Linked DNA regions of Lepisosteus oculatus. The protein of the gene in region 1 purifies or fractionates together with the protein of each later gene. This does not show direct contact. Links are inferred from orthologs where the notes say so. Each region holds a gene or a part of one and is shown in the gene's direction. Other genes may lie near its edges. The genes, in order: serine/threonine-protein phosphatase 2A 55 kDa regulatory subunit B beta isoform, cct7 and ppp2cab.

Region 1 (7,388 bases):
CTAATGTAGTGCCTGTCCTCAGGAGGGGCCAAAACTGAACCAAGTCAAGGCAGTCATAGTGGTGTACAGTACAGTGTCCTTTGTTACATGAAAGGTTAGAGAAACAATTATCAAAACTAAGCTAGATTCTCAGCTATTTTAAATACTCCTGGGTCACTGTGCTTCATACATTATTATATTTTTACACTGTTTGATAATTTCATGTATTTTTCAATGCCCTGCCTTGTGTCTGTTGTTTGCCCTAAGGCATGACCCTGAATTGGAAGAAATGGTTAGAATATAGATGGATGGAATTTTGGTGCTATTGGATGGATGTTACATAAGCCGAGATAAACCTAGATTACTACCTTCTTGAAATAATGATGTAGAACCATGTTACATGGAATCTGAAGTTTAAGCTTATTAAGTTTGTGGCTTAAAAGAAAGAGCATAAAAAAAGATAAACATTCAAAATGCTGATTGCTGGGAAGATGCTAGCACATCTAATCAAGCTTCTGTAATGTAACATTAATGGTAATGGTGCTCATGGATAATGATGAAACCAGTTATAGCGCCAATGTACATAAAACTTTAGAAAGAATTATACAACCTATATGAATTTGAGAGTGGAAGAGGAAAGTCCTTGATATCAGTGCGTGGCATCCTGCAAGCCAAATCTTCAGCAACATCTAGAAACAAGATGCACTTGGCACATAATGATTAGGTTAATTGAGGCTCACAGTATTGACTGGCAATGCTGTGTTAGAGTTTGTATGGACAGTGCCAGAGTTAAGTTAGGACAACACAGCAGTGTGGTAGTTCGTATATACAAAGTTGTTCCCAAAATAAAAAGGACTCGCTGGTGCACCCATCGAGCGGCCTTGGCAGGCTGTGTTAGACAGTGCAGTGAAAGTGGTGTGTCTCTTTAAAGCAAGGCCTGTGAATTTGCTAATTCTAAGTGTCCTCTTCAGTGAAATGGGTAGTAGCAGTACACGGCTCCTGCTGCACTTGGAAGCAAAGGGGCTCACACCGTTATTTAAATTGCCTTTGGAAGTTCAGGTGTTTCTGCAAGAGCATCAGATCTCAATTTCAAAATGCTTTGTGCTTTGAGAATCCTGTCTGGCTATCACAACTGGCATAGGTGAAGAATCTAGGGCTACTGGGACCCTGTTTGAGTTTTAGATGTGGGTGTCAAGATTAATGCCATAGTGGGGGAAAAAGCAGCAATTGATTGAAATAAAAATGCAGACAGGCACTGTTTCTGCTCTCTCTACGGTGTTACCTTCCAGGTTTTTACTGTAAATGAGACGTTGATCTCACTTGACTTATCTGGGTTAATAAAGGTTTATTTATGCTAAAACATTTATAAATCTAAAGGTCTATTCACCAGCAACCTTCCCGCCACATTGCTTTACTAAAGGAGTCGACAATGGCTTTGTTTAGAAATGCCAGAAAAAATCATTTAAAGTCAGTAATGTGCTTACATTGCATGTCTAATGCAGCTTCTGCTACTGAATTGTTTTATTAATTTCTTTGAAGTCTGGTTCATAACTTGTGCAGGCTTTGTTAGTCTTGAGAGGAGATAGTTTTGAATGGAGGTTACCTGTTCACACACACAGGGGCCAGGCATCATTTACAGACTAAAACCAACATTGCACATTGTGTTACATGTATACGAAAGTTCCAAGTTCATATAATCCGTCCAGTCAGTCCATTTGTGCAGGTTTGCCTGTTCTGAGAATTGACAAGCAAAGCTTTCCAAGCTTGAATTAAGGAAGGGAACTTTTCATCCCGTTTCCAGCTTCTTAGCATCTGCAACTACTAGCTCTAAATCTCTAGAGGAAATGTCCAGAATGACATTCAAGCCCAGTGCTTCCACTGGGTCTACATGGGAGGTGAATCATGACCTTGAACAATGAGCTTTCTGTACAAGCCTACATAATGTGACTTGAATGACAGTAGATCAGGTGTAAGACACACTAGCTTTGTAAACTAGGCTTGTTGCAGGGATACTGTACTAAGCAAGAATCTTGACATAGTCGCAGTGTCTCAAAGTGAATGAGTCTGCCAGTATAGAAGTCTTCTGAAGTACACTTTCAATTTGTATTCAAATACAAAAGCTGCTTGGTGCAGACAGGATGATGTTTCCTTGACTTTGAAGTTTATCAGTCAGTGGGGCTGAAATGACCTAAATGTACACAAAATAACCTGAGAAGTCAATCATAGTCTGAGTTCAGGAGGCACCTTTCGTTTCTTGAACTGTTTAATGCAAACGCCAAAGCAAGCTAAAACATCACCTCAGGACCGCCAGCTTTCATTGCTGTTCATCAAAAGTCCTGGATACTCACAACCCTTCTACTGTTTGTCAATATCAATATGATCAGCTATTTATATCATGAACATTCTGCAGGTAAAGACCATATCTGCTACAAGTTTTTGTCTTCTTGGGAGAATTTGCCAAATAGCTCTTAGCTATGTTAAGCATACATATCTTCACCTATTCACCATCTGTAAAAGGCTAAAAGGTGACCACACCAGTACTTTGACCCACTTTTGTAAAAAAAAATATTTACAATGAGAGCAGGCTATTTGCCACAGCTAGTTCAGTTATTTATTTCTGAGAAATCTTTTTTTTTAAACGCTAAAGTTATTTTTTTTGTTTGCAGTCCCTTCTGACTGAAAAGAATGCTAACTCATCGTTTTATTTAATTTTGCCATTTTAAGTAGCTTTACACTCGGCCCGATTCAAGATTGGAGGATGATATTGAAAAATAAATACAACTGTTTATACACAGCTAAAGATTTCAGATGACAAATTACCTAAAAAATTACTTGTCCCATTGAAACACAGATTTAGGAATAAAATCAATAAGAATACCAGAAAATGGGTGGATATAAAATAACATCACTATTTCTGTTATTTGTTAGTCTATGTTTTACGTAACTTTAAATGTTTGGGAATTTGTGATAACTTTGTTACTTATGAGAGCTACTGTATATCTAGTTTGTAGAACAGTCACATATAGGTCACAATCCATAGGATACTGATCTTGTTTTACTACATTATCAGAATAGCTTCTTTGAGTTCATTAATGGAAACACTAATCCTTAGAAATTCTTTCGTTGCAATTAACATCTGTGTTACTGAAAATCTACTGCCACATTCCTTATTACTGCTCTATTTCATAATGGCACATGCATGGATCCCTTTGAAATCTCTTGGAACTGTAATTTTTATATTTGTAAAAGGCCTTAATAAGATGTTTATTAATTGTTTTTTTGTGCTTTTGGTTTGAAGCCTAGTGGAATCCTCGGGTATATCTCTGTAGAGAGTTAGGCTGAATTATTTCCAACACCATTAAGGGATTACTGTTAGTCATATTTTCTGGACTCTTTGTTGGTGAAAACTAGTCCATTACTCTTCTTCACACAGTGACACTAGACTCTATGAGGCTGGAGACTCCTTCATTTAGGAGACTCAGATTAATGTGCATCATCTTCCTGGCAGTTGTTTACAAACCAGTGCTACAGACGTTCTCTTTTAGTATTCTTATCCACTGGAAAGGAGGTATATTTCTTATCTGCCTATATTTCTATATTGTAATCATAAAGGATTTGAGCCATATGACATGTCACTTTCAGCAGCTGGTATCAGTTGGGGGCTACTGCTGCAGCCTTACAGTAATTAAAGGCAGAATCTTTGAAACATTTGTTGTTTTGCTGCAGTAGGAGAAGTAACGTGATGTATTTCAAAGCAGAGCTGCACAGAGAGTTTTCCCCTCTGCTTCTCCTGCCTCCCAGAGTGCAGCTTTAATCACCTGCAGTCTCTGGAAATGCAGATCATGGCTAGCTGCTCATAGGCTAAGCTGGGAGGAGCCTACTCTGATGCAGCAGAGGCCTATGACAGCAGTAGCAGTGGCAGGCAGCAGCAGCAGTACTCACACTCGCTTCTCTCTCTCGCTCTTTCTCCTCTCACGCGCGCGCATGCACACACACGCACACCGTTTCACACTGCACCAGCAAGCCTGCAAGCAAACAAGCAGCCACACTCATTACCCTCTCCTTCCAGCACAAATCCTTTGAGATCCTGCTGCAGCAAGCACGAGGAGCCAGCTCTGCATGGGGGCTTGTTTAAGGAGTACCTGACTAAAAGGACTAGCGTGTTTCTTCAAACCACAGGAGTGCTGCTGCAGCTCTATAGAGTTGGGGGGGGGAAGCCACAGAAGGGACCATCTCCTGTTTTCTTCTTCTATTTTTTTCTTGCCAGTTTGCTGTACCAGCTAAGCTTTTTATGCCTTCTGTGTGAGTGGGTGTGAGGGGTGCGGGGGTTGTGTGTGTGTGTGTATGTGTGTTGTCCCCCAATTTTTCTCTTCCTCTCCTTCAAACATCTCAGCTGCACCACAAGTCTGTGCCGCATCTCGTCTTTTGGCTCTCATTATGCTATCCTCTGAACCCCTGGCAGTTCTCCGCCTCTGCTAGGCAGTGGCAGCATGGATGGTGCTCTTGTGAGGAAGCCTACGGATTCGATTAGTCCACTGCGGATGGGCATGCTGAGTAATCCTGCTGTAAATGGGCGAGGACATTGACACCCGAAAAATCAACCACAGCTTTCTCCGAGACCACAACTATGTGACTGAAGGTAGTGTTGCATGTGTTTTCTAATGCTCGCTTAAATGAGAAGCTGCTTGCTAGCTGAGATTATTATATACTAATGTATGCGTTTAGGTTATTTTAAACTTTGAAATCAGATGTTTCCTATAAGGATTTTTTTGCTTGTTCTTAGCAATGGGTAGCAGCCGTATTCTAGTTTATTCTGCACATTACTTAGAAACCTGACCTGCATCTCCCTAACGTCTAATTAGCTGTACAGATAAGAGGTCTTCACCAGCAGTAAATATCTGACGAACTTTTCAGAGGAACAGAGAATCCATCCTTTTTGCCTGTAGTGACATTGCTGATCCAGTGCACCAGAAGAATAAACGATTTGTATAAAGGTGTGCGAATTCATCAGGTGGACTCCTTGTTGGAGATGATTATTCATTTATTTTTAGCTCAGCTGCTCCTCTAATTAGAATGATCGAAAATCACAGATGCACTTGATGAAGGGTGTATCTCAGTTGATTACTAATAATGAAAACCAGAGAAAAATGATTTGTTCAATCACCTACAAATAATATTTATGGAAAGCATAAAATCTCTCTGACAGTGCAAGATTCTCTGTTGCTGTGGCCTCCACTATTTTCTACTGTAGGGTACAATTATAATTTTAAATGGACATTCTTAGATCCTGTAGATGCTGAATGCTGTGTGAATGATTTATAACAGAATGAGTTGTGCTATCAGTGGCAATTCAGCTAGCATATTTCACTGTATTTACTCATGGGGATCTCTTTTGGCACACAGGTGTATTGCTTAGTTTTTATATTTTTATCATGCGTACCATTTTTGTAGTTAGTCGTGACGTGTAGGATTAGCAACCCCAAGGCTGTGTTTTTAGTTGGTTTTATGACTTATGTCACCCTTAGTATAAGAGTGTACAATTATCTGTTTGATTCTGTAAGCTGTTAGATGATGAAGGTTGAACGCTGGCAGGAAAATGTATGTACTGTAGAAGCAGTTTTTCCTTTTTTCAGATGCAGTGTAATAGCTTTTGCTACAAATGCTGCAGATTAAGGGCCTTAGATCTTGTGATTTCAGTGGCAGCCAGCAGGTTCCGTTTATTCCACTTTAATGAACACATAACGGCTAACAGGGAGTCTAAATCTGGTAAATGGTGCTAGATGCAATAATTGGTGATCTTAATTTAAAATAACAAGCCAAGAAAAAGCAAGACCAAAACATTTAAATGTTTGTGGGAGGGAGTTTAACATTGGAATGCCTGCCAAGGGTTTTATCTCGGAGAAAAATGATGTAGTGAGTCAGCAAAAAACGGGAATTCTGCAAACTGTTCTCTCCAGTTGGTGCATGAACAAGGTGAGGCTTCATTTACAGTCTCAGAGAGTCGAGCATGACTGTTAACCAGGCTAAATGTATTCAGAAAAATGTGGCCAGCCAGGAAATTGGAGTTTAAGGAAAGAAAAACATATGCTATGTTGTAGACTCATAATCTATATAATGTAGTATATGTGAAGTACAGAAACATGCTACCACATATATGATTTCTAATGTAGCTTACAGGAGTCAGCCCCATGAGAACATTTATAATTACGTTTTTGACCCCAGCTTGTCATGTAATATTGGATACCCAGCCTGAAAGTGACCTTTTGTTTGCAAGTATTGACTGAACTATAATTTCTGAAATGGATTCTTAAATTATGTTTTGGGTCTGCCTTTTTTTAGGCTAAAAAAGATCCTATTCGGTTCATTTTAGTACAATGTAAACCATATAATTGAGCAATTTCTCACATTTATTTGTTGATTTATTAAAGTGTTGCTCATGCACTGATTACACTGGAATTCATAACAGTTTTCAAGCTCCTAGAACTTTAAGCAGGCCTTAATTTTAATCTCAAACCATGAAAATAGACCTTTTGAATCAATGTGGGGAAAATACTGTTACATTGCTTTTCTCCCCAAGTGCTAAATATTTAATGTTAATGCAGGTACCGTATGTTTACGAATTTGTCGATGGCAGTACCATTTAAGAATCTAAGCAAAACAGTGTGAGGAATCTTTACAGGTATTAGTTATATGGGAGTCCTGAAGCAAGATTAAATATGGGCTTCAAGACTTTTTTTTCCATTTTTTTAGTAGTGCTTGTTGAATTGGTAAAAGTATATGTAGAAGTTAATTCTACAATAAAGACATGTAAAGAAAAAGTTTCAACTGTGGGGATTTTGTTAGGGGTGTGGGAGGAAGTAAGGAAGCAGGATTAGGAAGCAAAGAGTTTGGCGTGTTTGGTAAGGATAATAAAGGAAGGAGGCTCTGAGGGAGGGCACGTCAGGCGAAGTGTCCAGACAAACGGAATGCTGGGAGATGGATTCCAGGAGCTGTGTGATGAGCTGAAACCTGTAAATGAGTGAACATGTTTAAAGAGAACTTACTCAAGCATTGAGAGATGGTGCGGAATTGCTACAGTTTAGAGAGGTAAAATGGGGGAACTATAGACATATTGACTCCTCTGATCCTCAGTTCTCTAACAGTCAAACTGTCAGTCGTTGTAGTTCTTTTGCAGATGTAAATGCCAGTGGAAGGGATGCAATAAATAAGATTGTTGGACAAGCATGATGCTCTCTGGCTGATTGTAAAATGGACAATTATGGCCTTGTGTATGCATACTAGTGGATATGTATATTTTTAGGTGTTTCAGGTGAATCAATAAGGCACAAGACAAGAAGGCTTATTAGATTAGGTGGTCATTGCTGTGCAGTGATTTGATGGGCCAGAAAAAAAAATTCTAGCTGGGGAGT
Region 2 (7,388 bases), on another chromosome or scaffold:
CAGGTCTTCAGACAGTGGGAGGAAACCCAAGCAAATACTGGGAGAACATATAAAGTCCAGCTTCGATACAGGATGGTGAAATCTCCCATTTTTGTTGGGCATGATTCTGTATTCAAGGTCTTGTGACAGCCATCTGTTTTTTTTAATATTTAATATTTATTTTTAAATAACAATAATGAATAATTCCTTACACTTAAATAGAGTTTTTTTTTCTGGAGACTCCACTCAAAGCTCTTTACAGGAAATGGGAAATCCCACCACCACCACCAATGTGTAGCCCCACCTGGATGAGGTAAGACATTAATAAGAGGTCATGACTGGCAAAGGTCAGGGGGAAATTTGCCAGGACACCAGGGTCACACCCGTACTCTTTTCAAGAAATGCCCTAGGATTTTTAATGACCCCAAAGAATCAGGACCTCAGTTTGATATCTCATCCAAAGGACGGTGCCTTTGTACAATAAAGTGGTCCCATCACTGTACTGGGGCATTAGGACCCCTAAGTTGGTCCTAATGCCCTAATGCAAGGGCTGTTGGCATCTTTCTCAGAGTGGTGGGAGTGTGGAACTCGAGGTTTTAAAGGGGTAGATGGACCACAGGGCGTCCTCTCTCTTGAAGTCTTTCCTGTCTCCCAGTTTAATTTTCTGCAGGTGGGTGAGTTCCTGCTGTGGCTTTGTGCTAGGCGGGGAGGGGTAGTGGTGTCACAGTTTTGTGGTTAGCGGGCACAGGGTGGACGGTATCCTCTTGACTTCTCTTCCCTTCAGGGAGCCTGCACCTCAGCCTGGCCCTGGTGAGGGGTGGCAGGCTGTGTCCCTAGCTCATCTTTTGCAAAGGCCACGGTATTTTTACTTTCTGAGAAAAGGGGACTGACAGCTAAATGTTTTGAAAAAGGGCAAGGGCCATATCCCCCTGCAGCTCCCAGCTAGCAGCCCAGTGGAGCTCAGCGGGTGTGAGCCTGGCCTGTACCTGGATGGAAGTCTCCTGGGAAAGCTAAGGCTGCTGCTGGAAGAGGTGTTAGTGGACCAGTAGGGGGCGCTCACCCTGTGGCCTGTGTGGTTCCTAATGCCCCAGTACAGTGACGGGGACACTAGACTGTAAACAGGTACTGTCCTTCATGTGAGCTGTAAAACCAAGATCTTCACTCTCCATGGTCATTAAAAATCCCAGAGTGTTTCTACCTTGCCTTTATCAATCATGGCCTCCTAATAATCCCCCTATCTGAACTGGCTTCATCACTCTGCTCTCCTCCCCACTGAGAGCTGGTGTGTGGTGAGAGTACTGGAGCATCATCCAGGTGGGGCTGCACACTGGTGGTGGAGGGGATCCTTCTTACCTGTAAAGCGCTTTGAGTGGAGAGTCCAGAAAAGCACCAGATAAGTGTAAGCAATTATTATTATTCCTACATTCATTCACTCATTAGTCCACTTGATGGTGAGAGTTACACTACAGTCACCTATTCCACTGTAAATAAGAGCAGATTTCACTAAGATCGGATATAACAATCTCTGGCACGTTTCTGAGCATTAATAGTTAAAAATAATCCCTCCACCACCAGTGTGCAGCCCCACCTGGATGATGCTCCAGTACTCTCCCCACACACCGGCTCTCAGTGGGGAGGAGAGCAGAGTGATGAAGCCAGTTCAGAGAGGGGGGTTATTAGGAGGCCATGATTGGTAAAGGAGATTGAGAAATGCCCAGGGATTTTTAATGGCCACAGAGAGTCAGGACCTCGGTTTTAAATCTCATCCAAAGCAAGATGGCCTTTTTACAGTATAGTGTCCACTCTGTATATTGTATAGTGTATTCAATACTTATATTGTAGTGAGAAACAGGTGAAGGTTAGTTCCAAACTGAAAAGAAAAACATTTCGGCTGTGGAGCCTTCTTCAGGTGGGGCTTCATCAGGCCTTCCTCACACCAGAAGAAGGCTCCACAGCCGAAACGTTGTGTTTCTTCTCTTCTCAGCAGGGAATGTTCCTTTGCAGCCTGCACATGCTGTCGCAGCTACCCTGCTTGCAGTGGGAAATCCATATTCACGCCCCTAAGGACACTGTCCCCATATGACTTGTAATTCAACACTCTAGTGTTGCTAAGATAGCTGTCTGAGATTCCTCAGTGAGTGGGGCAGTGGGTAGCATCGCTGTTGCGCAGTGCTGGGGCCCTGGGTTTAATTCCGGACCCGGGGTGCTGTCTGTGTGGAGTTTGCATGTTCCCCCGTCATTTATGTTGGAGTTTTCTCCCACTGTCCAAAAACGCATAGTCTTCCCCGTGATGGACAGGCATGGTGTCTTGTGCCCATAGCCTGCTGGGATATGCTCTGGCTCCCCTGAGCCCCTGACTAGAATAATCGCTTTGAAAATGGAGGAAAACCTCACAGACACGGTATTCTAAACTTTCGGGGAGCCCAATATTCCGGTCCTTTATTTGTAGAAGCATCTTTCATTTTTTTCATCACTGCGATGTCGAGCCCCCTTACAACCAGATTTCTCTAGAACATAGCAATGGTTAATTATTGCATGGACCTACGTGTTCCCTTTTTTTAGTTATCTCCTCCTAGGTCAACAAGCTACCCAGTGAAGAAAAAAACCAAACATCTGCGCTATGAATACCAGCAAGTCCAGCTTCCTGGTGTGTTTTTGTGTGGTCGCTATTGTTATCGCTATCCCGAGTTCAGAGGGATCTTCTAAATATAAAAGCGCATCTGTCCTTATCTTTAAATTCAACCCTGAATTCCTATCTTTATGCCTTGCGTTTGAGTTATTGTTTATTGCACTTTTTCAGGCTTTTTCCACCCAATAATGTAATAATAATAATAATAATAATAATAATAATAATAATAATAATAATAATAATAATATATCCGTTCTTTTCGATATTTATCGGTGTTGGTTTTGTATTAAGTTTGTTTTATTGTACTAATCATTACTTTCATCGTATATCAGTCTAATTTAATGCTTTTTGCACCGTTATTTGTTTTTGTTTTTTACAGTTCGTGGTTTATTTTCGATAAACTGTAACTCGGACTAAAGCGTCCGTTAAGATCAAGGAAGACAGTGCAGCGCCCATTCAAGGCGCTCAAGCCTTAACTCCACCCCCTCCCACAACCCTCGCACCGCCCTCTCTCGAACAGCCCAATCACACACAGGCTTCATCCCGAACCACGCCCACGGAGGAGGTGTGCGTCGCCCAGTAAGGCCAAGGCGTTGGTACTACGCCCCTCCCTCTTGCTGGAAACTTCCTCCGTCGAGGTGCATTGTGGGAGCTTCCGACCGGCTTGAGCGTAGCGACAGAGCCGACAAGATGATGGTGAGTGAATGGATTTACCCTCCCTTTGCAACCCGCTTTCATCCATCTGTCACCCATCTCTAGAATATCGAACCGCACGGGTGGTTCGACGAAGCAGACCCCCTTCTCTTAAGAACCGGCAGTATCGGTCGTGGAAGAAGGATGATCGCGTTCAATTTGTTTGTTTGGATTTCTCGTGGTTACGGTCTCCGTCTCTTTCAGTGGGGGTGCTGCCTTGTCATTGTCGCTCGACTCAGAAGCGCCGCTGGCTGAAACAGAAAAGCTGCTTGTTTGTTGAAAACCGTGTTTGTCTTTTTTGTTCCGGGATCGGAGTCCCATGTGTTACCGCGGGTTTCCCGTCTTTAATCGTGTTGTGGGAGAGAGAAATGCACCGATTCGCCGCGCCAGTCCTCTGACAGTCTTCGGTAGGCCTGAGACATGACAGTTTGGGCCCTGTTGAACTACTGTCTCTAGTTACGGTAAAAAAAAAACAAAACCGAACCTTTATCAAAGGAGGTTTCTGTCTGTGTGTTTCAGTCCAGCCCTCCGTGTGCTGAACCGTGTGCACAGTAACCGATTACAGTACCGAGGGAGGGGCTGAAGTGCTCTCCTTTTGTGCAGTGTTGAATATTTTGCCTAAAAAAATCATTGAAGTCTCCTGGTTTGGTGCAGCTGCAGTTTTTTTTTAATTCTGCAAAATAAGTGATGGACAATGGCTGTTCCCCTCCTTGAGGGGGTCCCCCCCCCTAGTCCCAGGGAGCCCCAATCCAGCTATTCGTTTAGGTCACCCTAAATCGCCCGGTGAAAGCTATTGATGTTTTTGTCCCTAGTGATCTCCACCTGACTTAATTGAACACATTGCCTGTTGAGTTGATGGCAGTTAACTTCCAGTATTTATGGACTTCAGAGATGAGACTTCATAGAGACTGATTTAAAGGCAAGAGTGTGGCTCTACAGGACCAGCCCTGGACTGGCTGGATCAGGGCTAGAGAACCCCCCTGGGCTGTAACAGTAGTTCTAATGATCTTATTTCAGAGGCCTCTGGAGACACTACCTCCTCACAACAGGGAGCTGTGCCTTTCTGCCTGCCTCAAATAGAATAAAAAGAGCTCTCTCCTTTATTCTTTGTGTGCCATCAAGTCCCAGGTGTGGCCAGTAGGTCACCTCGTGCTTGGTGCAGAATATCACAAGAAGTGTTCACCTCCTTCTTGCTGAAATATCGCTGCTGGTGTCTGTTGCTAGGTTACAGCACAGGGCTGGTTCCAGTCCCATCACTGGAGAAAACCTTAGTAATGTCCTCGGGAGGAAGTCACAAGATGGATCCGGATTGGCAATCGATGCAGCTCCCATAGAAAAGAGATTGTTGCACCAAGGCTACAGTGATTGCAGAAATATTCAGTTGAATGCTTTGTATTCTTCCCCACAGGCTTGTCTTTTTCTCTCTTCCTAATCTGCATAATGCAAAGCAAGTCTTCGCTGCTCTGCAGCAGGGAATTACAAACATACACAGTCTTAATGTTGGTGTAGTCCTGTTACGCTTCAGCACTTTGGTGAGGTTCCATTGTCGTGCTCGGCGAGTTTGGCCGCAGTGGGGTTCTGGCAAGTCGCCGTGGTGACAGTCCCCCCTCTTGCTCCGCAGCCCACACCAGTGATCCTGCTGAAAGAGGGGACGGACACCTCCCAGGGCGTCCCCCAGCTCGTCAGCAACATCAACGCCTGCCAGGTCATCTCCGAGGCCGTGCGCACCACCCTGGGGCCACGCGGCATGGACAAGCTCATGGTGGACAGCAGAGGTGAGCCCCGCCGCCTGCTCTCGGGGCAATGGCCAGAGGGAGACCCCCCCCTAGCCCGTTTGACAGTGATCCGAGGGTCTCTTACCCTGGCTGCCTCCAAGAGGTGCTCGTGTTGATAACGTGGCTAGACAGCTTGTTCTGCACTCCTACCACCCTTTGTGTAAACAAGTGCCTCCCATCCCGCCTGGACAATCTCTTTTAGCTGTGTCTTGAAAGAAGCCAGGTTATTGGCTTGAACAACATGGCTAGACAGCTTGTTCCACACTCCTACCACCCTTTGTGTAAAGAAGCCCCCCCCCCCCCCCCCCTCCCCCCTCAGTTTTCAATGCTGTTCCCTGAAAATTTCACTGGTGTCCGCTGGGTTGCCATTGTCAGGGCCCTTAAGGGTTGTATCAGGTCCCCTAATTGTTCTGTTCTGTACTTGAAAGGCTCGGCTTCATCAGCCTGTCGTGTACAACTTCTTGAGCCCCTGAAAATAGCTGATCTTGTCATTTTCTGTTCTGTGGAGCGCCTTAATTCTAGCATTCTTATCACTCCCACTCCACGTCGTCCTTAGAAGTGATGAGGCACGAGCTTGTGTACCGTTATGCACCCAAGTGGCAATGGGCTCCTGTCCTGCTCATCTCACATGAATAGATCATATACTAAAGATAGTATTCTGCAATAAAATAGCAAAGTAACTTGTGGATTAACTAGACTGTTTTAATCAAATTAAAACCAAGATTCAGATATCGAAAGTTAAGTGCTGCACAGCCATAACTATTTTCTTGTACTTTTGAATCCATATCTGTTTAAAATTTTATCTGTTCTTATTTCTGATGGCTTTAGGTGACCAAGGTATTGCCTTATGCAGCGTAGACCACTGTCTGAAATAATAAACCTGTATTGAAACAGAAATGCATCCTGTCCAGATCAAGTCCACGCAGGGTGGAGATCTGAGCTGCACACTTCTCTGTTGGCGGCTTCAGGGTGACGACGCCAGTTTGCATGCGGAGAAACTGTTCAGTGTGTCTTGCCTGGCTGTGAGGAACGTGCACTGCAGCAGTCCTGGCCCAGAAATCGTATTTCTGAGTGTTCTTCCAGTAGGTCATGTGGGGCTAGCTGGTAGCAGCTGGCTAACGGTATCCCGTGATATTTTTCTTCCTCCTGTAGGGAAAGCTACCATCTCCAATGACGGCGCCACCATTCTGAAGCTCCTGGATGTGGTTCACCCAGCCGCCAAGACCCTGGTGGACATCGCCAAGTCCCAGGATGCCGAGGTGAGTGTCCGTCGAACGCCTCCCTGTTGACCCTACGAGGTCCGGGAGTTGGTCTGTGTTCAGAGACTCAAGCAGTCTCCCTCTGGGTGGGCTAGCAAGAAGCGAAGGTGGGCTACTTTTTAAACAAAGCTCTGTGACAGTTCCCTGCATTTCAGAAAACATGCACAGGTTGGTTCCACGCTGAAAAGCAAAGAGAACAGACACAAGGTTTTGGCCATTGAGCGTCCTACAGAGCAGCAGAAGTCACAATGGTTTAATTTAATCATAAATAGCCCTGTCGTGTGATCCCAGCTCGCCTTTTCGTGCTGCGTGCAGACTTCGGAAACGATCTAGATCAAAAGCCGGTGCTTTGTCAGCTTTACTTCTCCTCCTCTTGCTCCCCCGGCGCTCCTGACTCGGTCCCTGTCTCTCCAGGTGGGCGACGGCACGACCTCTGTGACCCTGCTGGCAGCGGAGTTCCTGAAGCAGGTGAAGTCCTACGTGGAGGAGGGGCTGCACCCCCAGATCATCATCCGTGCCTTCCGCACCGCCACCCAGCTGGTACGTGCCCCCACCCCACCCCCTTCCAGAGACTTTCCCACTGCTTCTGGAGGGGGCTTTCCCTCTCAGCCTGGTGGGGTTCGTTCTGGAGCTCAAACCTCCATGTGACCAGTAAGGGGCGCTGAGGAGCAGGTCGTGACTCTCCAGGCGTTTTCAGTTTAATCAGTTCATCAGGACCTGGGATCTCTTCCCTCGCTCCTGGGGGCCCCCCGATCCAGTTTCCAAGACTGGCGACACCACCTTGTTTGTGCATTCAGGGTGTGAGCTGCTCAGTTGAGAGGCCTGGTAGTTGCACAGGCTGGTTTGAAATGGGCTCTTAAATTGCCCTCAGCTGAAATTGAGGACCGCAAAGCTGTTACATGTGTCTGATGCTGGAGACCTCTGTCCTAGACCTACACGGTGGCTTGAGCTGCCCTTTTCAGCCCTGCAAAAGGTCCGAGTTGGTATCTGTGGCTGAAGGAAGCAGGAGCACGTGTTGGTAGAATGTGGGAATCGCTAGTATAAGAGCTGATG
Region 3 (7,388 bases), on another chromosome or scaffold:
CCCCAGCTTGCTCTTCATGAGACACAGAGGCACACAGACCAGGAGAGAGAAGCTTGGGATCAGAGCGCAGGGTCAGCCATTTATACAGCGCCCCTGGAGCGGCTGGGGTTAAGGGCTTTGCTCAGGGGCCCAATGGTATAGGATATCTCTGCTGGCCGCGTGATTTGAACCGGCAAACTTCCAGCTACAGACGCAGATCCTTAGCCACAGTTCCACCGCTCCACCCCTAGAGAAGGAGTTTGCCTGGGCCATACAGGGATCGAACCCGTGACCTTCCCTCGTTAAACATATCCATATCACATTAACATAGTTTCAAAATGTGAAACTGCTTATCTTGCTGGTTGTGCTTGATAATAGTTCTAACTATAAATAATAGTTAGCCCAGTGGTCCCCTCAATGGCCAATACAATAAAAATGATTAATGGGCCACACAGTAGTGCAGTGGTTATCATCACTTCCCTACAGCACTATGGCCCTGGGTTCAATTCCAGACCTGGGGTACTATCTGCTTGGTGTTTGAATGTATACACTGCGTCAGTGTGGGTTTCCTACCATAGTCCTAAAACATACAGGAAGGTTAATTTGCTTCTGGGAAAACTGGCACTAGGTGTCAGTGTATGACCTGTGATGGACTGGTGTCCCATCCAGGGTGTACCCTGCCTTGTGCCTGTTGCCTGCTAGAATAGGCTCCAGCTCCCCAGACCCTGAATTCGAAGAAGCGGTTAGAAAATTGATTAATGGATGATTAATTACTGATTGTTAAAATAAATAGTCCTGATCAGTATTTTTTGTATAAAGTTTTTCATACAATATTAACATATGCAGAGAATCACAGAGCCATTTAGTAATGCTCCTATCTTTTTTCTTCAATCTTTTTTTCAAATAATTTATCATTTTCCTTGCTCACATAATGTTCATGTAAATAAATATAATCCCATGCTTAAAAATATGAATAATTAGATTGCTTCTTTTTTGTACACCATTAGGTCATTTACTGCTGTGGCACTCTTTTTAAAGAAATGGGAATGTTCTTTGTTTTTCTTTAGTATTTAACCTGCTGATTCATGTTGCAGTGAAGAAGTCTAGCAAAATTTATTTTCTTGGCAGCTATTTACAGGAATAATAAATGACTTCATCTCCATGGGAAATGTCAATGCTTTAATTGTTGTGGTCACCTGGCCAGACTTTAAAAAAAGCTCTAAATAAATGACTTCATCCAACAGAACCACTGTTACCAGAGAGAAATGCTGTGGTTTCTCACTGTGACATGGTCATTGTGACTGGACTATTTAAAGATCACATTGTTTGTGTTCTACTGTGAAATAAAGGTAACTATAAATGTGACTACTAATGCACATGTATTTGCAGAAGATCCTCTTACAAAAGCTTTTTAAATGTAGATATTTCTATCACATATTAATACTCAGAAAAATCCATATAATTTTCTCAGATATCTTACTTTATGGTGTGACCTATTAATTTCATTGCAAATTAATATAATTGCAAGATACTGTGTACAGTATATATATATATGTGTGTGGTTTTTAATTTTCCGCACATATAAATTGGAAACTGGCAGACCTACTGTAAGCATCAGCATTTATGAAGGTGACAAGATACACAATCAACAGCAAGCCACTTTGTATTTATGGCAGGAATGCTGCGTATAATCATGCAACCAGGACAAAACAACAAAATCTAAGCTGGTACATCTGATGCCATAACGTCTCTTAACCATAGCTCTCAATTGGGCAGGGAAGTAATACAAAACAGACTCAACAATATTAGGACAGTAAGCTTAGCACATGAAACAAAACGGCTGTACTTTTTTCCCTTTTTGTTATTTCTTGACTTACTTGACAAATGCTTAAATATTCTAAAAGGCACTTTTTCACTCTCAAATATAAATATTTTGCAACCCTTCGGATGTAAACGTGAAACGTGTAAGACATGACAACAGTAATAGACCAATAACTAGGTTATGCAAGCAAATTACAGCTGACAGCCAAAGTTCAACAGCATGTCAGCATGTTTTACACCTTGTAAAGGCAACCATTCTACAGGTGCTGGGTAAATAGTCTTCTGTCCTTCTATATTCAGCACATTGTGATAGGAATCCATCAATGTAACTTGAAGTAAAACAGGTAATTTGAAAAAAAAAAAAGGAAATAGTCCTTAGAATTGAAGACGCACATTAAATGCGTAAAAAGAAAAAGCCTATCTGGGACCTAGACTGAATTCATATCTTAATATTGAAGCAGCCTTCTTCAAATACAACCGTATTCATTAACACAAATGTCTTATAACAGTATAAGACGGCTGTACACATCATTGTCTTGGTGATTAACATAATAATTAAAATGAAACATTACATCCATTACATCCATTTTAACATTGAATGGAAACTTGTCTTCAGAACGAATGTCTGACACTCATGGATTGTAGAAGATTTAAAAAACATTCACAAGCCATGACCGATTTTCAAGCGAATAAGGGGGATTAGGACGTTGTCAGTCAAAACCCTGCTTTTTGTTGAAATCGTAAGCAGCAAGTTATCTTTTTCAAAAAGGATTTTTGTGCTTGTTTATTTGCTTTCATATTGAGCTCCACAATTTTAATTGTGATGTGCTAATTATATAGAGTGAAGGGCTTTAAATGTTTGCTTTTAAATGTCCTACATAAAATGACATATTATTGTTTTAAGATTACATTCTCTGTTTTTTACACAGGGCATTATCCTTCTAAACGTGTATTATTTTACAGTGTAAATGTACATGTATTTCTGTACTGACTATAGCATTCAATCTATTTTATAACAGCTACAGTATTTCGGATAGCCGAGCTATAACACCTCCAAAGAATGGCGCGTATGGGTGTAACACGGTACTCAAAACCAGCAACATTGCCCACAACAGCGCTGCAGACAGGCTTACCACACTCCCAGTGCGGTTTTAGGCGGACTGTGTTTGCTTCCTTTTGGGACCGGAAGTGATCAGCGTCGTTCGTGACGTCAGGACGGCCATTAGGCAGCCGGAGAGGCAGGGGTGGGAAAGCGGTTGACTGACGTCTTCGTATTTCTTTTTTTATCTGCTTCAGTTAATAATTATAATTCCCACTTGCCGGGACTGAGTCTTTCCCTTCCCTCGCAGAGTAAACGGGGTTTGTAAAACAATAGGGCAGGGCGTTTTATTTTTTTCGTTTCTGTTTTATACTTAATCTTTTTTAGGGTAACGTTCAGAAATGGACGAAAAGGCGTTCACGAAGGAACTTGATCAATGGATTGAGCAACTCAACGAGTGCAAGCAGCTTTCGGAAAGCCAAGTCAAGACTCTCTGCGAAAAGGTAATTATTGTCTTTCTTCAGTACAACACAGAAATATGTCCATCTTAACTGGTGGAAAGGTGTATGGACGGGACGGTGTCGAGGGTTTCGAGCGGGTCCTCTCTTGCCCTGCATATACCGGCTTGTTAAGATGGCGGAGTGGATTGCCATTGGTTACCGATTCAAATGAATGAGGTATTATTCGTAAAAGCTCATTTGAAGCGGTATTTCAAGCATTTAACAGTTTATAATTCAAGAGTACTGAGCTGAGAAATAGACCTTAATCTAAAGCCTGCAGCAGCTCTGAAGGTGCAAGATATATAGGTTAAATGCATTGACTTAGGAACTTCTTTTAAAATAGAAAAAACAGCACTGCTGCCGGAGAAAGGTAGTTTAAATGATTAATATTTCGAACTGCCTGCGGACATCTTGGCACTGAATTGTTTGTAGCGGTGAAATTCGGCGTTAAATTGAATGCGTCGCTTTCCGATTGCTTTTTGCGATGGGCTGTAGTACATTCCTAAAATGGCGCCGATAGTTACACATAGCAGACTCCGAAAGCCGTGCAGGCTAACTGTGTTGTCCGGTAACGTAGCTATACGAAAAACGATCTCTATTTATCGTAGTAGTTATGCGTTTTTATCAGATAAGCACTTTGTCTAGGTTCCCTAAATTCGAGCAACGAGACCTCGGCCCAGTTTATTAAGGTATTTTGTTTTTGATGAGCCGCCGTATTCCGGTGTAATGCTGTAGCGGTGGTTTTTAGAAGCTGGCGTTCTTTCTTAACTTTCCTTGCTTTGTTTCTTGCTCAGAATATTTTTAAGTACTGAAAGGCAGAGTAGTGTTTACTTTTAAAACAACGCTTACAGTGGCAACTTCTGACTTAAGTGTAGCCTCACATGGAAGTTGAATTAGCTCGCCTTTAGCCCTTGGTGATTTTAAATTCAATAGAGGTATATTAATAATGATTGGTATTTTGTCTAGATTAAATAGTAAAATTATGGATTTTATTTTTTTCATTTGTATTTTAAGTTTATATGTAGTAGTGGTCAAGATCTGCTCTTTAGTATGTAAAACAACTCAACGTTTTGTAGGGCTGTTCTCAAATGTGAGAGTTATGAAGTGATGATCACTGTGACAGAATAAAGGGGACAGCCGAAAGAAGCGCCACTAAACGAAACAAGACCCCTGTCTTGGTGGGTAGCTGCGTCAGCATGCAAAGGAACAAGTAATAGGTTTATTCCATGCTGAAGAGCGAAAACACAACGTTTGACTGTGAAACCTTCTTCATGTGTGCAGGTGTGCCCTCTGTTTAGGTTGTGCATTGTTACAGTAAAGTTACCCATAAGGTTTTTGGACCCTTGAGAGTCGTTTTCCATCCCTGATCCTGAAGTACTCCTGTCTCTTCTGGTTTTCATTTCCAGTGAGCTGTCAGTCAGTTAAGTGTCTTGAATCTTTGATATATTTTTAACTATTTTTTGTACACAGGACTTTCACAAATGTTTTGTTGTTTCAATTATATATATCGAGAAGAACTATAAACTTAGTTTCAAGTGAATGTTCCTCTAAATTGGAATTCTGTGTTCTTATTACCCAGATAGTGACATTTCTAAGCATTCCTTGTGGAGCATGGCTCTATTTGTTAAATGCACCCAAGTCGCGGAGGCAAAGCTCAATGAGAGGAGAGTTGAACTTGGCATCTGGTACAGGTTTAATGCAAATTAAGCTTGTTGTATTATGTCTTGGCATGATGGCACAGTGGTTAGCATTGCAGCGCTCAGGCCCTTGGTTCAATTCTGGACCTGAGCTTCTATCTCTATGGAGTTTGTATGTTCTCCTTGTGTTTGTGTGGGTTTCCTTCGGCTGCTCCAGTTTCCACCCATAGTCAAAAAACATAATGTTATGTTAATGTACACAATGATGAGGATGGAGGATTTCCTAATGAGTAGGCCAGACTAGGTTTGGCTGCATCATGGTTAGTACTGAAAGGGGATCGTTTATTGTTAATCTTTTTCATACACTGCCAGACGTTAAAAATGAACTGTTTTGGAAGCAGGTCTGTGTGGACTATAGGGAGGACTCCCACTATATATAGTAACTTCTGGGTTTACATTTTGTATCTTGTCAAAAGACTCCTGTACCAAATCAAAAGAAAAGTGCTCTTAAGCTGTGTGCTTTCTTCCTGGTAAACTAATGAGATTCATGAGATTACAAATTAATCTAAGTTACTTTCACAGAGGAACATCAATGTAAACAAAGTGCTAAAATACTTATTATTGGCTATTATCATGTACTCTTTCAAGTGAGATTCAGTGGTTTTGTAGGTGGGTGATTTCATGTAAGGTGACTTTTGTGAAAGTTAAATGTCTAGTTCTGGGTCAAAGTTAACTGTCAGCACAAGGCATTTCTTTAAAATGTCTTTTAAAATTACCCTTCCCAGAACATGGTATGTAGTAAAGAATTATTTCCCTTGCATTTTTTATCAAGGGAGAGTCAATGTGTAGCTATAAAATTAGACAACAAATTTGGGTTTGGACCTTAGACTAAAGTACATTTTTTTAAGTTCATATATTGCTATTGTATATGTAGGGAAAAATGGAAATAACTATGTAAAGTTACTTAATAACATGTTAAGCCACCATGAGTGGCCAGTACCACCTTTATGCTCCATGGCATTGAGTCTGCTTGCTTCTGGAATTCTGCAGGAAGTTTGTGCAGAACCATTCTTCCACAAGACCGTGAAATTGGTTGATGGAGGTGGAAAATGCTGTCTCAGAATTTCCCATAAATGCTTGGTTGGGCTCAGATATGGTGACTGAGAAGGCCATGATATATGGATGACAGTAGTGTCATGTTCATTAAAACTGCACATGGTCTGTGGATGGGGGCATTTATCATCCCGGAAGACAGCCTTCTGGGTGTAGACACTATACATTGCGGCCTTTTCAAATTCACTTAGATCTCTTCTTGTAGACAGTCCAATCATACTTAACTTGGCAACCTGGCCTGTCCAGCACTTTTATACATGATCCTAAATATGCTGTGGTGTTATTTGCCTAATTAACAAATGAGATGTGCTTCCGTCTACTTGATGTCCCTCATTTACCCAGGTATTTCAATTTCTTGTACTCTGATTGCATGTTTAATAGTTAAGCTTCATATAGGTCTTCAGGGTAAGCTGGCAAAGATAAGCTGTTGACCAGTTCTTTCAGCAGTGTACTACTTGTTCTAAGAAACTTGTTCTCTGTTTAGGAAAAAATAGTTATTCTTGGATGTGCTGAAATAACCCATGGTTGGTTGATACATAAGGAACTTGGTCACCTATCAAACAAGGTCTTTCTCAGAGGAAACATGCCCAGGTAACACTGAACAATTACAGATCTCTGAGACAGGATAATGGGAATAAATAATAGGACTTTTACCTTAAAAGGGGACTGCAGTCCCAATTTCTCAGGCTGGTTAGTAAATCTTGGAAATTAATGTTATCAAAATTCAAATTGTTATCAAATTGTGAACTTGGTGAAAGTACTGTGTTATCGCCGTGTTGTGTACAGCCCTGGTTTCACCATGGATGAGAGCAAGTTTGTGCAAATTGCAACGTGAAGCAACCCTTCCTGATTACTAGTCCCTGCAATGACTAATGTGATGTATGAGCAAATAAGTGCATGTGTAGCAGAGATTTCACCGCAGAAGTGTTTCAATGTGATCTGAATGTTGAGTTAACAATTAAGTTGTATTTGTCGGCAAAACTCTCTCGAAGTTGAGAGCAATATTTGTATTCAATTTAAAGAGATGTCTTTGCAAGCCTGTTTGTTTACCAGAAAGTAGGGCTGCTTCACTTCACCGGAAGTTTGGTTGCCTCGTTCTGAATCGCAAAATAGGGAACTGCTTATACCTGGAAATAACAACACTTTATTAACCCTTTACAATTTCTTCAATTAGGAATTTGTTTTCGCGTACCCCAGCTTGCTCTCCATGAGACACACAGACGGGGAGAGAAGCTTGAGGTCATGATCTATTTCGTGATGGAAATTTGACTCTTAATGCTCATTTTAATTTCATTGTAG

What was found.
Region 2: the proteins of serine/threonine-protein phosphatase 2A 55 kDa regulatory subunit B beta isoform (region 1) and cct7 purify together in Homo sapiens (affinity purification with mass spectrometry; 4 studies listed by BioGRID and IntAct, counting the BioPlex papers as one, with this or other methods). This does not show direct contact. The link is inferred for Lepisosteus oculatus from reciprocal best matches to the Homo sapiens genes PPP2R2C and CCT7.
Region 3: the proteins of serine/threonine-protein phosphatase 2A 55 kDa regulatory subunit B beta isoform (region 1) and ppp2cab purify together in Homo sapiens (affinity purification with mass spectrometry; 6 studies listed by BioGRID and IntAct, counting the BioPlex papers as one, with this or other methods). This does not show direct contact. The link is inferred for Lepisosteus oculatus from reciprocal best matches to the Homo sapiens genes PPP2R2C and PPP2CA.

What each region holds. Positions count from the first base shown.
Region 1 is NC_090696.1:42,685,669-42,693,056, forward strand, and holds the start of serine/threonine-protein phosphatase 2A 55 kDa regulatory subunit B beta isoform, read left to right. Parts: upstream 1-3,877; 5' UTR 3,878-4,548; coding exon of another isoform or gene 4,549-4,618; intron 4,619-7,388. UniProt on the Homo sapiens protein: The B regulatory subunit might modulate substrate selectivity and catalytic activity, and might also direct the localization of the catalytic enzyme to a particular subcellular compartment.
Region 2 is NC_090699.1:10,569,141-10,576,528, forward strand, and holds the start of cct7 (T-complex protein 1 subunit eta), read left to right. Parts: upstream 1-3,198; 5' UTR 3,199-3,298; coding exon 3,299-3,304; intron 3,305-4,922; coding exon 4,923-5,076; intron 5,077-6,228; coding exon 6,229-6,335; intron 6,336-6,749; coding exon 6,750-6,875; intron 6,876-7,388. UniProt on the Homo sapiens protein: Component of the chaperonin-containing T-complex (TRiC), a molecular chaperone complex that assists the folding of actin, tubulin and other proteins upon ATP hydrolysis.
Region 3 is NC_090706.1:23,922,415-23,929,802, forward strand, and holds the start of ppp2cab (serine/threonine-protein phosphatase 2A catalytic subunit alpha isoform), read left to right. Parts: upstream 1-3,005; 5' UTR 3,006-3,240; coding exon 3,241-3,342; intron 3,343-7,388. UniProt on the Homo sapiens protein: Catalytic subunit of protein phosphatase 2A (PP2A), a serine/threonine phosphatase involved in the regulation of a wide variety of enzymes, signal transduction pathways, and cellular events.